Arabidopsis thaliana: one gene and its partner. The main gene of each other region encodes a partner of the protein of the gene in region 2 in a complex. Each region holds a gene or a part of one and is shown on either strand. Other genes may lie near its edges.

Region 1 (8,021 bases), on a different chromosome or scaffold from region 2:
TGATTGAGATGTGTGTAGAATAAGAACAAAGGCATTTGATATTAGTAGTATATGAGACAAGTTATTTCTATATCTCGATTTAAATATTTTAAAATGCTCTCAGTTTCGATCAAACTTTACAGACTAGAAAAATAGAGAGACCCATGATTATCCAGCCCACATATTAATCATGAATCATGATTAACATCAAAAATATTCCAAAATAATTGATCAAGTACAAAAGTTAAATTATTCGATAATAATGAACAACTGATAGTGGATTTATGACTTAATGTTGGTTTAGTGGAGATTAAAAATAGTAAGAAAAATTTGAGTTTGAAGCTTTATTTTTGTTTTCTTATCTATGTTAAGGATTTCGGGTGTCTTTAGATATCCTAACTTGTGCCTAGAGTTTGCGGAAAAGACGGAGTTTTGGTCAAAGAAGGACCGGGGAACAAAGAAATAACAGAACCAGTACGGCCATGGGATCGGTCTCACCAATGACTGATCTAGGACTCCTCAAACAACCCTCATAAGCCACATTGGCCGTGCCCATCAGTCAAATGCAGATCCAATATCCCTGGAGCCAACTAAATAACCCGCATCGATCAACCATCATGGTCATAGAGCCACCGATCTAGCCAACCAAACCATCCGACCAGTAGCTACATCGTTCTGCCATATCGGTCATATTTTTTTATCGATCCTAATCACAACCCATCTGATCCAGAAGCTGCATTGATCCCAACATCGGCCAATGAAACCCAAACATTATACTTACCCTTTGCAAATCCTATTCTACTGGGAAAATAATATAGTGCTCATCTTTTAATTGATGAAACCCGAACATTGCATTTTGAGAAATAGTATGCAGTCGCAAAAGCAAAAGCAAAAGCATATTCAAATGTAGAAAGAAAATATAACATCCTTGTAATTCTTTAACTAATTAGCAATCTTCAATGATTCACATCATTTTCAACAGAGTATGAAGGAGTTAACATTGCAATGAATCTGCAAATTACTTGTACATATACATAACGCCCAACCAGGGTTAGATAGGAGAAGAGACCAAAACAACAAATGTGTGTTCTTCCATGATCTATTAAAAAGCTTCAATATATAGTAACGTGAAAAAACCTGATTGATTAGTCAACGGCTTTAGAATCATTAGAAGAAGATGCCTCACCAGATTCGGAGTGTTCATGGTTATGATCACAGTGATGGTTGTTATCATCTTCTTCTTCACTGTCATCCTCATCAAAAGGCTTCTGTTTATGAAAGATGCAACACTTCTTCGAACTCTTCTTCTGCATAAACTCATTGTCTACAGTCCCATCTTTCCATGAAACTTTCTTCTTCTTCCGGTTCAACCGAAGCACTAATCTTTCAGTAGGTTGTGATTGAGAAACAGGGTTTTCTAATATGACAGAAGTTGTTGCTGAAGAGGAAGGCCTTGTTGCTGTGCTCATAGCTGAAGATTAGCTTTCAAAATCTGCATAAAAGACTAATTTCATAAGGTACCAAAATACAAGAACAGAGAATAAAAGTTCTTAATAGTAACAACTAACAACATGCTTAAGAATGACAAGAGCTAAAGATAAAAACTAAGACCTTAAACAAAATCGTAAAACAGAACAAAGCCTTTAGGGTTCATTCTTTAGGTAAACAAACCAAACAGATGCTATTTCTCTAACCCTAAATTCATTGCCTACGAGATCTGAACCCTAATCATTCCTAATTCCAGGGGATAAACACAAATCGGTGATATGAAATTGAGAATCAAATGTTGCAGTAAACAATAGAGAGACCTAGTTTCGATCGTAGAAACAATAGCGAAACCTAAACCTAGGGGAAAAAAAGATTCAAAGAATCAAATCGACGAAGAAGCAAACCTGTGAATCCCCAAGGAGGAAGGGACGCTTGTTGAATCGAGAAACTTTTTTTTTTTTTCGTTTTGTTTTTTTTTTCTTTCGCCGATGGAGAAATTTAGTCGCTCCAACCAAAAAAAAAAAAAAAAAAAAAATTCGGTCTAATTTTATATTTATTTTCTAAGAAATGTTAATATATATATTAGAAAAAAGACTAATACAGTGTAATTAATTTTGAGAAAACTATAATGTTAACTTATTTGGGATTCGAAAACTGAATATATAGAATGACTTTATAAGTTACTCATACTCATAGTGAGGTTTAGTTCAGATTTTTACATGGATGGATTTGATTAAATCCAATTATGTATATTTAAGTATTTAACTAATGCAGAATTTAGATCTTATTTTTTTTTTTGCTTATTATTATGCTGGGCCGCCCCTAAGACAGGGCCAAGGAAAATAGAAAATGATCTGGTCATAAAAAATTGGGCTATAAGAGTAAAATAAAACACACAAACAAAAACATCCGTCTCTTTCACTTACACTTTCACTTCACGTTTGCGACTGTGTCGTCGTCAAGCTCCGGATCTCATCGGCGTTTCATCATAATTATCTGTCCATCTATTCACCGTACGACTCCGTTTTAGAAATCTGTAGATGTCAATTTGAGAGAAAAGACTGTCTTCATTACAACACATTTGGGACAACAAGGATCACTCATGGCAGTGGTGGATGTTCATCGTTTCGCTGAGTCAATCACTTGCCATGCTTGGAGTCCTGATCTCTCCAGTATGTTTCTAACACCTCTCTGATTTTGTGATTCTCTTCTTTCTCTCTTCCGTCGTTTTTCTGTTTTTAGAATTATAAATGAGGAGGATCTTTAGTTAGTTTTTCTGAATTGACTTGTGTTATTCTTATACATCTTGGTAATCAAGTTTCTTCTAAATCCCTATAATTGAGAATTTTCGAGTCAATGTTTTATATGTCTGTTTGTCGGTGTCTCTTGTTAGGAGCACTTGGTATCTAGTATTGTACATTAGTAGATGCGCTTTTCTAAACAGATGAACCAAATCTATTGTTACAAATGATTTAACGTCTGTACTAAAGCCTGTAACCATTTATGTGCTTTGACATTTGTTTCGTTTTTCTTGGTAGTGGTTGCTCTCTGTCCTAACAACACTGAAGTTCATATCTATAAATCATTGTCTCAAGACCACTGGGAGAGGTTACATGTCCTCCAAAAGGTGAAACCTTTCTCTCTCCCTCTCTTTCTGTAACTTTTGAACTTGCACTCCTTTTGCTTTCTCTTCTTGGGAATTCCTTACTTTCGTATATTTATGTATTCTCATTTCACTGATCACTTGTCGCTGATAAGTGTTGTATAGACAGCTTGAATCTCCCTTACAACAACTTCATGATTATTGTTCGTCTTGTTGCAGCATGACCAAATTGTTTCTGGAATAGATTGGAGCTCAAAGTCCAACAAAATCGTCACTGTTTCTCATGACAGGAACTCGTAAGTTGCTACCTTTGATATACTTTGAGAAACTCCAAACCTGTTAATCTTAGTCCTTCACTTTTTTTCGTTCGTTGAACTGAGTTTAGAATGCTTCTTGAAGGTACGTCTGGAGCCTGGAAGGAGCTGAATGGGTACCAACTCTCGTTATTCTTAGACTAAATCGTGCTGCACTTTGTGTCCAATGGAGCCCCAAAGGTAAATGTTTAATTTTTCTGGTTCTTAAGCTTAATTTCCGTAATATATCATGTAATTTTCCTATAATTTCTACAGCTTCTAATCTATGTTCTCATCTTTTTGCTCAATACCCATAGAGAACAAGTTTGCTGTTGGAAGTGGTGCTAAAACTGTTTGTATTTGCTATTATGAGCAAGAGAATAACTGGTATTTTCTTCTTCTGCTCCTAATTCTCATTATTAGTCCTTGATTTTTTCTTTGGCAAGTTTCCTGACTTCTTTGCTACGAATGGTGTTGTTGGTCTATGTAATGATATTATCTTGTCTTATGTACTGGCATGATATTAGCACCAATCATATTTTTTATTATCTTGGCATGCATAACTGTGTATTGTTTAGAGATTTTAGAAAGATACTTTCATGTAAACTTTTAGTATCTGACATTGCTTGGCTTTACTGTTTGCAGGTGGGTCAGTAAGCTAATCCGGAAAAGGCACGAATCTTCAGTCACATCTGTTGCTTGGCATCCTAATAATGTACGTGCAATCAACAGAACCTCTTGTAGTTCATGTAGCCAAAATATTAAGCAGGCTCTCTGTAAAAGCTTTCTCTACCAAAAATATTCTATAAGTTGGCCACCAGATTGAGTATAGAGTACATGATCCCTAAAAATAGAATATCAATCTCCACAAACTAGTTAATCTTCTAAATCATTTTTTCTCGTATGCTTTTTTATGTTGCTGTGCTCTCTGATTGTCTGTTATGCATTAGGTTCTTCTGGCAACGACATCAACAGATGGAAAATGTCGGGTATTTTCAACATTCATCAAAGGAGTTGACACAAAGTATGCTCATTACTTGAACGTCTACTTTTAAGACATTTTTTCAAACATGAGGCCATTTCTTATTTTTCTTTCAATGGGCTGATACAGGGATTCAAAAGCAGGCTCACCAGCGGAAACGAAATTTGGGGAGGTTCGACTAGTTTGGCTGGCTTTCCTTCTTTTAGTAAATATTATAATTCTTGTGCCATATATATGTTCCGTCTACTCTCTCATCTAATGTTAGGGAGTTTTTTTTTCTACTGTGGCTTTGTTGAAACAGCAAATTCTTCAGCTTGATCTCTCATATTCTTGGGCATTTGGTGTTAAATGGTCTCCAAGTGGAAACACCTTAGCATATGTAGGTCAGAAAATCCTTCAGACTTGGGATGTTTTTCCATTGCGCTCTACTGAAATAATACAATGGAACTTCAACTTGGTTGCAGTTTTTACTACCATCTGTCATACTTTGCGTGTTTATGTAATCATGTATAGGTCATAGCTCCATGATTTACTTTGTTGATGATGTTGGCCCTTCTCCTTTAGCCCAAAGCGTTGCATTCCGAGATTTGCCTCTTCGTGATGTGGGTCAGCATCCACCTTTATTTTACTTTTGAGAACCTGGTTTCTCCGGTGTGTTATGTCCTGAATTGATATATTATGGGGAAATTGCTATTTCAGGTCCTGTTTATTTCTGAGAAAATGGTGATAGGGGTTGGATATGACAGCAACCCGATGGTATTTGCTGCAGATGATACTGGAATATGGTGTGTAACTCTCAGAAATATCTGCTTAAAATTCTCTTTCTTAGGGGTTTGCATACTATCAAATTTTCAGTTCTTTTATTCCTCTTAGATCACAGGCCGGATTGTTGGTTCTGAAACGAACCACTACCAATAATTGCTTCGTTTACAAGTTTTTGTATTTGGTCTGTAGGAGCTTCATAAGATACATTGGAGAGAAGAAAGCGGCATCTTCAGGTTCCAGTTACAGTTCGCAGGTACATACCAAATCTTCTTTCTTATATTGCAATATGTCTGGTTTTAGCCTTTTAGTGAAAAAAATATGACTGAACTTTAACTTATCCCTGAGTTGTTCCTCTAAAGATCGTAATCTTTGGGGGTTAGTGTAGTTCCTCTCTTTCTTTTTTTCTTGGATTTACGATACGACTTTCCACTTGCATTATTTTGTTGTGTTGTGTCTGACACATCTGTTCATTATGTTATTTTTCAGTTTTCCGAAGCGTTTGGAAAATTCTACGGTAGTCAATCAAAGTCTACAACAGCCAACGATGCTTCTGATTCACGTGGAGGCGTTCATGATAACAGCATAACGTAATTGTTTCTTTATCTAACTTGGCTTGTACCAAATCATTTGCCAAAAAACTGTCTCTTTAGCTCTTTTACTTGATTATCTGTTAAGAGCTGACGTAGAAGTTTACCTGCAGTTCCATTGTGCCTCTGGGCAAAGGAGGGAGTCCTAAAGTTATGCGATTCAGCACTTCAGGTCAGTCACTAAATTTAAATTTATATAACCCTTCATGGAATCACCCGATTCAATTCATACAAAATGACAGGTTTCATTAGCTCGCATTTTCGGTTTATTATTTATAGGATTGGATGGCAAAATAGCCATATGGGATCTAGAGAACATGCAACAAGAACTTGGCAATCAGTTTTAATAAAATCTGGATCAGTAGTCAGCTTACTTAATTTGTATATCAGATTTTGTTTCGACTAGCCTTTTCACCTTTTTCCAATTTCGTAATTGTCACACTTGGTAAACTGCATAATAAAGGCCATGTTTTCCTGGTTTGTGTAAGGGCAGGTGTTATTAAGTTTTGAGCTATGCCCTTGTCTCTGGATCTTTGTAATATCTTGAATGCTCTATCATTTGATTCATTATACGAGTTGGTATCTTGTATATTAACATAATAACATTTTCAGCTTTGTGTCGAATGAGTTCTCCGGACAACAACCACAGAAATGAATGCTATATATCAACAAACTTGAAATGAATCTTTTCATCTGTGATGATATATACAATCCAGAATGAAGCTGACACTAGTATCATCTGACATAATCATCGGGGAATCAAAAGCTCCGCTTAATATCTGTGTAATCAAAACATGGCTTACATCAACTGAAGCACGTACGTACGGTCTTCAGGGGTTAGAAAATTTGACCACTGGTATGTCCTTTAGGAAGCTGCAAGGTGACTTTATACACAGACCAAATGTGAAACCAAGAACACATATCGGGAAAATTCCAAGTACGTGCAAATGTTTTCACTCAATTTCTGGACCACGTTCATGAAGTATATAGCATTGTTTCAGAGAACTCTTAACTCTTGATTCCCGCCCAAACTGAACTAAGTGAAAGTATTCCAGCTGCCTTAATTCACAGATTCTATCTTGATCTAGCATCTGCGGGGAACAACTCGTATTTTGCATTTGTTTACAAGCATATTGTGATCTTCGTAGCTTTCAGAAAAAGCACAACGTCTTAGAGATTGCAGACTATATAGGTAAATTTTTCTCCATTGGGTGTCACTGAAGAGAATCTGAAGAGAACGTCCAACTTTACCAGAATGTTCTTATTGGGTGTCACTGAAGAGAATCTGATAAAACCTTTTTCTCTCTTCTGGATCAAACAGACCACCTGGTCGATCCCCATGGTTTTCTTCTTCATCGACATCATCTCGATCGTGGTTCCTGTCTTTCTTTCGCACCACAGGCTTCAAAGATTCAATACCTTTCTCTCTCTTCTTCTCTAGATTAGCCAAATATCGCCTGTGATTATACTCATACAAGCCCTGCTGCATCAATTCCCCAAATTTATCCTTCACAACAACGAGCGGGTCCTTGTGAATCAATTCCGAGCCATTGTATCCTTCTCTGAGGATCACAGTGTGAACCTGATACTTGTTTCCAACGTAGAATATGCCTGGATGCTTCAGAAGCATACCATTTAGCTTCTCCGGTAACCCAAATTCCCTCTTGAAATGACTCAGCTTTACGATTGACAGCTTTTTCCACAACGTCAACGAGAGTAACTCGTGCACCAAACCAACACTTCTCTTCTCACTCTCCTTTGAACCCTCAACAAGATCCCCATGATCCTCATACGGAGATATGTAAGGAAAGGCATTAAACTCCATGAACCTCTCCCACGGTTTGGTCCACGTGGAAGGTAGAGAGCAAGAGAAACTAGGCTCAGAGCCACATTTCTTTGCTGCTGCTTCAACTGCAGAGACAGCCAACTCAGGCTTCCACAACAAAAGCTCAATCTCCATTGAACTCTTCCTACCACTATAATTCACTAACCGAAACACATCTGAGTACTTTGGAACTATTCTGATAACATAATCATCAGGGAATCCAAAGCTCCGCTTAAACTCGTTAAGCTTCACGACATTGAGACGCTGATTAACACTCAACATAAGCAGCTTTGCAAGCCTATCTGCGAGTACAGGCTCTTGTGTATCTTTGACCAACTCTTCCTCTTCCACAAGCGTCATCATCGGTTTCGTTAACCTACAGTAATACTCATCGTTCTCGAGATAAACATGGAAACAACAAGGGTATTTCTTAAGCCAATTCAAGGCTTTCCCCTGAAGATCAAGAGTCTTAAACTTCTTCTGTAGAAACTTAATCGAT
Region 2 (7,522 bases):
GGATCTTACTGGGTTTTTTTTTAAACATTAAATTCGTAAATTCCCAAAGAAAAAAAAAAAAACTCGATACCTTTTGTTTTACAAAGTCGTCACAATTCTGAAACCCTTAATTGAATCCAAGAGAATTTTTGATTAAATTAAGTCTCTGGACCCTGAAGTCCCCACACAAGCAAGCTTCGATGGATCCCAAGAACCTAAATCGTCACCAAGTACCAAATTTCTTGAACCCACCACCACCACCGCGAAATCAGGGTTTGGTAGATGATGATGCTGCTTCTGCTGTTGTTTCCGACGAGAATCGCAAACCAACAACTGAGATTAAAGATTTCCAGATCGTGGTCTCTGCTTCCGACAAAGAACCAAACAAGAAGAGTCAGAATCAGAACCAGCTTGGTCCTAAGAGAAGCTCTAACAAAGACAGACACACTAAAGTCGAAGGTAGAGGTCGACGAATTCGGATGCCTGCTCTTTGTGCTGCTAGGATTTTTCAATTGACTAGAGAATTGGGTCATAAATCTGATGGTGAAACTATCCAGTGGCTGCTTCAACAAGCTGAGCCATCGATTATTGCAGCTACTGGTTCAGGAACTATACCGGCCTCTGCTTTAGCTTCTTCAGCTGCAACCTCTAACCATCATCAAGGTGGGTCTCTTACTGCTGGTTTAATGATCAGTCATGACTTAGATGGTGGGTCTAGTAGTAGTGGTAGACCATTAAATTGGGGGATTGGTGGCGGTGAAGGAGTTTCTAGGTCAAGTTTACCAACTGGGTTATGGCCAAATGTAGCTGGGTTTGGTTCTGGTGTGCCAACCACTGGTTTAATGAGTGAAGGAGCTGGTTATAGAATTGGGTTTCCTGGTTTTGATTTTCCTGGTGTTGGTCATATGAGTTTTGCATCTATTTTGGGTGGGAATCATAATCAGATGCCTGGACTTGAGTTAGGCTTGTCTCAAGAAGGGAATGTTGGTGTTTTGAATCCTCAGTCTTTTACTCAGATTTATCAACAGATGGGTCAGGCTCAGGCTCAAGCTCAAGGTAGGGTTCTTCACCATATGCATCATAACCATGAAGAACATCAGCAAGAGAGTGGTGAGAAAGATGATTCTCAAGGCTCAGGTCGTTAAAAGGATTGGGTTTTTTTTTGTATCTTCTGGATTTGAAAAAGCTTTTGGCTTTTGTTTTGTGATAATATTGTTGTAATTTGTACCACCATGGAGAAGAAAAAGAAAAGGTTATATACTGAGTGAGAGTGATAATCTATACTTATTGAAACCTCTGCAAAAACACAAGGTGAGTTCAATTTGAGGATGATGATACAAGAGAGTGGAATCTTCAAACCTTTTTTTCCGAGTGTTTGTGACAATTTTTTGGCAGTTGTTGTTTGAACTTGCAGGTGGAGTTTGTTGAATACACACAGCCAGAGATTTTTTTGTTTGGAGTCTTTAAGTTGCAGAGAGGCTTGTTTTTACTTGTTCTGAGTTTTGTTGCTTTTGAATATCAAGAAACCGGCTTTTTTCAGATAGTACAACAATGGTAATGTATACTTGTCTTCCATCACATATTTGTAGAATGAAGATTTATAGCTCTCTTTTGCTCAGTATTCTTCTATTGCATCTCCAAAGATTGTTCTCTTTCGTTCGATCTCTCTGAATGAGTTAAAGACTTTCGTTTAGAGTCGAGTGTAAAACACTTCGCTGCATGTTCTGATTCAGTGGCTTTGAGCTGCAATGGATTTCACAATGATGGTAACGTTGTATTCTTTAACTCTTACTTACATTCATGTTATTGCCCTGAGTGTGCCGTTAACTGTGGGAAGGTTTTGAACTAGGTACAAACCCTTCGCAGTTGGGAACCAAATAAGCTGGTATTGCATTTACTCTTTGCCTTGCAAGCTTTTTCAAAGATAAGTATAAATTGTTCAACGAGTCAAAAAGTTTATATCATTTTACTCATTTTGACTTGAATTTGACGGAACTAAGGAAAGAGACTAAGAGAGAGAGAGAGAGAGAGGTTAACGAGTCAAAAAGTTGCTTGATCTCTATGATTTGTCCAACCAATCAAAACAAGTGAAGAAAATTCAAAAACATTCACAAAGCTCTCTCTTTCCCTTTTGAGCAATGATCTAACTCAACACTATGGTCCAAATACAACTCCAATAGATCCATTCCAAAGCCTCCCTCATGATGAGAGCGTGACTTAAGTTGCTTACTCTTTTAATTTCCATTCTCTTCGACACATTGGGCAAGGAGCTTGACTTGTCTACGAATTCTTCCATTTCAATATACAGAAGTGAAGATGAAACGCGTGGTTACTTTGAGGTCTAAGACATGCAGTTTTGTTCTTACCAGAACTAAATAAAGCAGCTTAGCAATGTTCCAGTAAGCATGAGAGACAGTGTGTGTCCTAATTAACCTATATAAAAGTGAAAACATGAAAGCTGATTTTACATCGAACAAGTCATTGGACTTGTGTGTGTGAAACTGTAAAAGTCTTATCTTATTTTTACTATATTGGTGACTGATACATAACATGTTGTGACAGGAACTTAATTTACAACATGTTATGTAGAATAAATTTTAGTATTGAGACAACATAGAGACAACAAAAAAACCTAGAAGAAGATTGATATCCCAACTTCGTACCAAAACCCTAGTAACATCTTTCTCGTAACATAACCCTAATAGTGATTGAAATCTCTGATCAAGGGATTGCATGATGATCATTTACTAATTCTTAGTTTAGATCATCTAGAAGATTGTTATACAAGTAAACAGAATTATCTGTTTGACCTAATATGGGCCTGAGATAGCCCATCAATACCCACAACCAAGTTAACTCCATCTCAATAATTCGAGAAAAGGGGTAACGTATTTAATAATTTTTTCTATGTATTGACCGTTTGCACTACGTGACGTTTTCACGTAGAGTAAACGACGCGCATTCTTATAAAGAAACGAGGAAACAGCTGCTTTTTGTTTGTCGAAGAGCAAATATGTTTTCTCGATCGCGACCAAACAAGTAGAGAAGAGTGATTCTTCGCTTCGATTCAAAGACAGGTTTTTTCTTTTGTTCCCTGAGAGATCGAATCGAAGAAATCGAAATTTTTGTACTTCGATAAAAATCTGTAGTCTCTATAGAAATCGGAGAAGATGGACAACAAAAACGTCGTCGTTTGCGACAACGGCACCGGTGTAAGCTTCTTCTCTCTGATATCTCTTGTTTCAGACTCCGAACTTTAGTTGAATCTGATCAATCATTCCATTCCTATCTGGGTTTCGTTAAAAATCTCACTTTTGAGTTTGTTTAGGATCTAGTTGTCTTAAAGTTGCAAAATTTGAAAACTTTCATGTCTTAGCATAGTGTAAGATCGTGTTTCTATTGAAATCAAAACTAATACATGAGAAATCTCATAATGGGTTGCTTAAGTTTTGAGTTTCTTGTGATGGGAACAAATTGTGAGCCTCTTATTAAATTTTTCAGTATGTAAAATGTGGATTTGCTGGAGAGAATTTCCCAACGTCTGTTTTCCCCTGTGTCGTGGGAAGGCCATTGCTTCGGTATGAAGAATCACTCATGGAGCAACAAGTCAAGGTTTGTAGATATGTGACTTTAAATAAGCAAAACCAGATCATTGTTAGCCTTTTGAGTTTTGACTGAGCTGATATGCGTAATTCGGATTCATATACGTTTTGGTTTTGTTTCATTTTAGGATATAGTTGTTGGGGAGACTTGCTCTGAGCTCCGGCATCAATTGGATATAAATTATCCTGTCCACAATGGTATTGTGCAGAATTGGGATGATATGGAACATGTTTGGGATCATGCTTTCTATAACGAATTGAAAGTAAGTTTCTTCTCCTGCTTCTTCTTGCCATTTTTGTCTCGGTTCCATGTGTCTTGACTTACTCTTAAACCCTTTTTGTTATTAACAGATCAATCCATCTGACTGTAAGATATTGCTCACGGATCCACCTCTTAATCCGTCCAAGAATCGTGAAAAAATGGTAAGATATTATCAAGTCTTTGGTTAAGAGTTGCTTTGATGGTTGTTGGAGCAGTGATTTATTTTATGTTATAAAACAGATTGAGACAATGTTTGAGAAATACAATTTCGCTGGCGTTTTCATTCAAATCCAAGCCGTTTTGACTCTCTATGCTCAAGGTGCTTATGGAGACTATTGAAGGTTTAGATTTTCTTTCGTGTGTTTAGATAGTCACCTGTAAATAGCATTTATGTGTGCTTCCCTGATATTTTTCTTCATGTGTTGAACTCTTGGTTTCAGGTTTGCTAACTGGTTTGGTTATTGATTCTGGTGATGGTGTTACTCATGTGGTAAGCTATAAACCTCTGTAATTTTTTAGATCATATATTGCTTATAATAGAGAAGTTAACCGTCTTCGCCTCACATCTTAGGTTCCGGTGGTTGACGGCTACTCGTTCCCTCATCTTACTAAAAGAATGAATGTTGCTGGCAGACACATAACAGCATATCTCGTTGATCTACTATCTCGACGAGGGTGAGAAACTGATTCATAGACTCACATTCATTTTAATGATGTTGAGATGTTTTAAATTAGCTAAACTAAAAGACTGTTTGTTCAACAGATATGCGATGAACAAAACAGCTGACTTTGAGACGGTTAGGGAAATTAAAGAGAAGCTCTGCTATATAAGGCATGCAAAGACCTCTTCTCAGCTTTCCTCTAATATCTGTGTAGTAATGCATTACTAGAATAGGAAATAAACACAATTTGTTTTGTCTTTTTTTGCAGTTATGATTACAAGAGAGAATCTCAGCTTGGCCTTGAGACAACTATCCTTGTTAAGAATTATACTGTAAGTCTCTCTCCTGGTATGAACCTGTCAGGTGTGTGAATTTTCAAGGTTTCGATGGCAAATAGAGGCAAGAAACAGAAACTAGTGTACGTTAAGCTAATAGGAATCCAAACTCATGATCAGAACTAAATAGATAGCAGATTCTTGGCGAACTTGAGCCTGTAGAGAACTTTAAAGATTCGTGCCATCATTCCTTTGTTCTTTTTGGTAATGAAAGAATGATATTATCATCTTTTCTTTTCATGACATCGTTTCTCTGTTCTTGGGCGCTGTGTTTGGGATTTTTCATCCGATAGTCGATAAAGTTTCATACTTGTGCCAGTTGCAGCCTCTAAAGCTGATATTATCACCAAATTATTTTTTTTCCAGAGTACTAACCCGTTGTGTTTTTGAACTGTGATCAGCTTCCAGATGGGAGGGTTATCAAAGTAGGCACTGAAAGATTCCAAGCACCTGAAGCGCTTTTTACTCCGGTAAACCTTCATCGCGTCCTCTGCTAATTTCTCTTTTGGAATAGTTTCAACCCTCCAAGAATCTCGAGGCTGATCACAACCAAATATTTTTTCAGGAACTCATTGATGTTGAAGGTGATGGAATGGCAGACATGGTTTTCCGATGTATTCAAGAAATGGATATTGATAACCGCATGATGGTTCGTGTGACTCTTACGCTTGCTTGGTATTTCAAAAGAAAGATCCAACAAAACTAATCATTTATCTGTCTTAAACCCTTTGCTCTTTTTTCACAGCTCTACCAACACATAGTTTTAAGCGGAGGTAGCACCATGTACCCAGGATTACCTAGCCGGTTCGTATATTTTTTCTTCATCATAACCCAGCAAGAAGTTCCATTGTTTTATGTTTCATTGTCTTTTATTCTCTGTTTGTTTCAGTCTTGAGAAAGAAATACAGGATCGGTATCTCGACACAGTTCTAAAAGGAAACAAAGATGGCTTGAAGGTAAAAAAGATGATTCTGATAATGCCATGATCACTGTCAGTCATTAGCTCAGTTTTTAACATTTATCTTCGTTTTTCTTATCAATCAGAAACTCAGATTGCGGATCGAAGATCCACCGAGAAGGAAACACATGGTATACCTCGGAGGTGCTGTTCTTGCAGGAATCATGAAGGTAAGAGAAAAGTTCAATGCTATTCTCTCTTTTAACACGAAAGCATGAAATTTTAGTCTGTGTTATGATGTTAAGAGAATTTGGATTCGATGTTGCAGGACGCACCAGAGTTCTGGATCAATAGAGAGGACTATATGGAAGAAGGAATTAATTGTTTGAATAAAATGAGCCAAGCTTAATAACTTTCAAACGCAGAACTCATACTTGTACTTGTACCCCTTTTTTTTACTACCGTCAGGATGATTTAATTCCGTTTGTGAATTCAGTATTTTAGGTTTCAAAGTTTGAGTACAATTGGTTGCAGTTAGGGATCCAAAATTCGACATGTGATTGGTGGGATATACAGAAAAACGTGTATTAACTAATAATGTTGAGACTAATATATTGTGTAATAACCAAAGCCAAAAGGTCGAGAAGAGACGAAATGCATATATCTTAATTCTTGAGTAAGCAAACAGAGTCAAAACAGTGAAAGATTATTTGTAATTTTGAAAAGGAACCCTATTTCTTGCCACACAAGGTAGATCCCTATTGTTTTCTGTTAAAACCCAAAAGATTGCCACAACTCTGAATTGATGGAACCAGCTTCCTTCTACTGCATGTTCTGCAGCTAGTCTAAGTACAGCAGCTTCAAGCTAGATCAAAGACAAAATGATTACCTAACCTGCCATGAGTAAAAAAGGATTTGAAAACTTTTAAATTAACTAGAAACAAAAAAAACTGATTTACAATCCCAAAATAAAAAACTGTAAAAACTTTTTGAGGTCTTAATATGGGCTTTGGCCCAATAACGGCAACACCGTGTCAGAAACGTTGGTGTTGGTGACTGTTAAACTACCTCAACGACATATAAAACATTATGAGCGTTGGCCCAATAAAGAGATATAGGCCCATAAAGTTATAGAGAAATCACCCGGTGGTTCATCCAAATCTAACCACGACGAAGATTATTTCCAAACTGCTCAAACTTCTCCGGCGAGTTTTGGAGACATTATCGGAAAACGGCGCCATTTTATTAACCGTGATTTTCGTTGGCTCCTTCACTGCTAATTGTTAGCATCATCGCAACAATCTCCTTCTTCTGATTGATTCTCTCTGTAATTTCCTCTTCGCGCTTGTTTTTTCCGTATTTGCTTTCTACTGAAATTGGTCTCTGGTTATCTCTCGTAGATTAGGGTTTATACAAGCTTTGATGTCTAAAGCCACTAACTAGTTTTGTTTATGCACGTACTTGTCCTATTGTCTAGTTCTCGCTTCGTCTTACGAGTTCCTTGTCAGAAAGCTTGACCCTTTTTGTTTTCTTTTCCATTGCTTTGATTGATGACTCTTAGGGTTTTTGACTTGTATCTTCTTTGTTTCTCTATAGATTTTGTGAAGGCACACTGGTTTTTGAGCTGGTGTTGAAGCAATGGGTAGTTCATTTAACGCTCAGATATTAGTTGAGAAGCTTGCCAAGCTCAACAATTCTCAAGCAAGCATAGAGAGTATCCTCTTCTGTATATCATAATTTGGTTGTAGTAAAGCTCTGTAATTTCATTGTTTAAGTACTTAAAT

Evidence for each region.
Region 1: ARP2 (region 2) and ARPC1B share a complex: the UniProt entries of both Arabidopsis thaliana proteins name them as parts of the arp2/3 complex.

The regions. Positions count from the first base shown.
Region 1 is NC_003071.7:13,344,336-13,352,356, reverse strand, and holds ARPC1B (actin-related protein C1B), read left to right. Parts: upstream 1-2,357; 5' UTR 2,358-2,569; coding exon 2,570-2,639; intron 2,640-3,005; coding exon 3,006-3,094; intron 3,095-3,289; coding exon 3,290-3,366; intron 3,367-3,469; coding exon 3,470-3,564; intron 3,565-3,680; coding exon 3,681-3,750; intron 3,751-4,008; coding exon 4,009-4,078; intron 4,079-4,313; coding exon 4,314-4,387; intron 4,388-4,474; coding exon 4,475-4,517; intron 4,518-4,646; coding exon 4,647-4,728; intron 4,729-4,858; coding exon 4,859-4,947; intron 4,948-5,044; coding exon 5,045-5,130; intron 5,131-5,299; coding exon 5,300-5,363; intron 5,364-5,596; coding exon 5,597-5,697; intron 5,698-5,810; coding exon 5,811-5,869; intron 5,870-5,976; coding exon of another isoform or gene 5,977-6,044; exon of another isoform or gene 6,045-6,309; coding exon 6,310-6,380; downstream 6,381-8,021. Other genes in the region: INH3 (inhibitor-3), read right to left, coding at 1,125-1,448; AT2G31290 (Ubiquitin carboxyl-terminal hydrolase family protein), read right to left, coding at 6,959-8,021. UniProt on the Arabidopsis thaliana protein: Functions as a component of the Arp2/3 complex which is involved in regulation of actin polymerization and together with an activating nucleation-promoting factor (NPF) mediates the formation of branched actin networks.
Region 2 is NC_003074.8:9,951,412-9,958,933, reverse strand, and holds ARP2 (actin related protein 2), read left to right. Parts: upstream 1-2,951; 5' UTR 2,952-3,149; coding exon 3,150-3,191; intron 3,192-3,480; coding exon 3,481-3,591; intron 3,592-3,709; coding exon 3,710-3,844; intron 3,845-3,932; coding exon 3,933-4,004; intron 4,005-4,083; coding exon 4,084-4,162; intron 4,163-4,283; coding exon 4,284-4,333; intron 4,334-4,414; coding exon 4,415-4,518; intron 4,519-4,606; coding exon 4,607-4,675; intron 4,676-4,773; coding exon 4,774-4,837; intron 4,838-5,241; coding exon 5,242-5,310; intron 5,311-5,405; coding exon 5,406-5,489; intron 5,490-5,585; coding exon 5,586-5,644; intron 5,645-5,729; coding exon 5,730-5,796; intron 5,797-5,884; coding exon 5,885-5,968; intron 5,969-6,066; coding exon 6,067-6,147; 3' UTR 6,148-6,455; downstream 6,456-7,522. Other genes in the region: TCP20 (TEOSINTE BRANCHED 1, cycloidea, PCF (TCP)-domain family protein 20), read left to right, coding at 180-1,124; AT3G26990 (ENTH/VHS family protein), read left to right, coding at 7,377-7,452. UniProt on the Arabidopsis thaliana protein: Functions as ATP-binding component of the Arp2/3 complex which is involved in regulation of actin polymerization and together with an activating nucleation-promoting factor (NPF) mediates the formation of branched actin networks.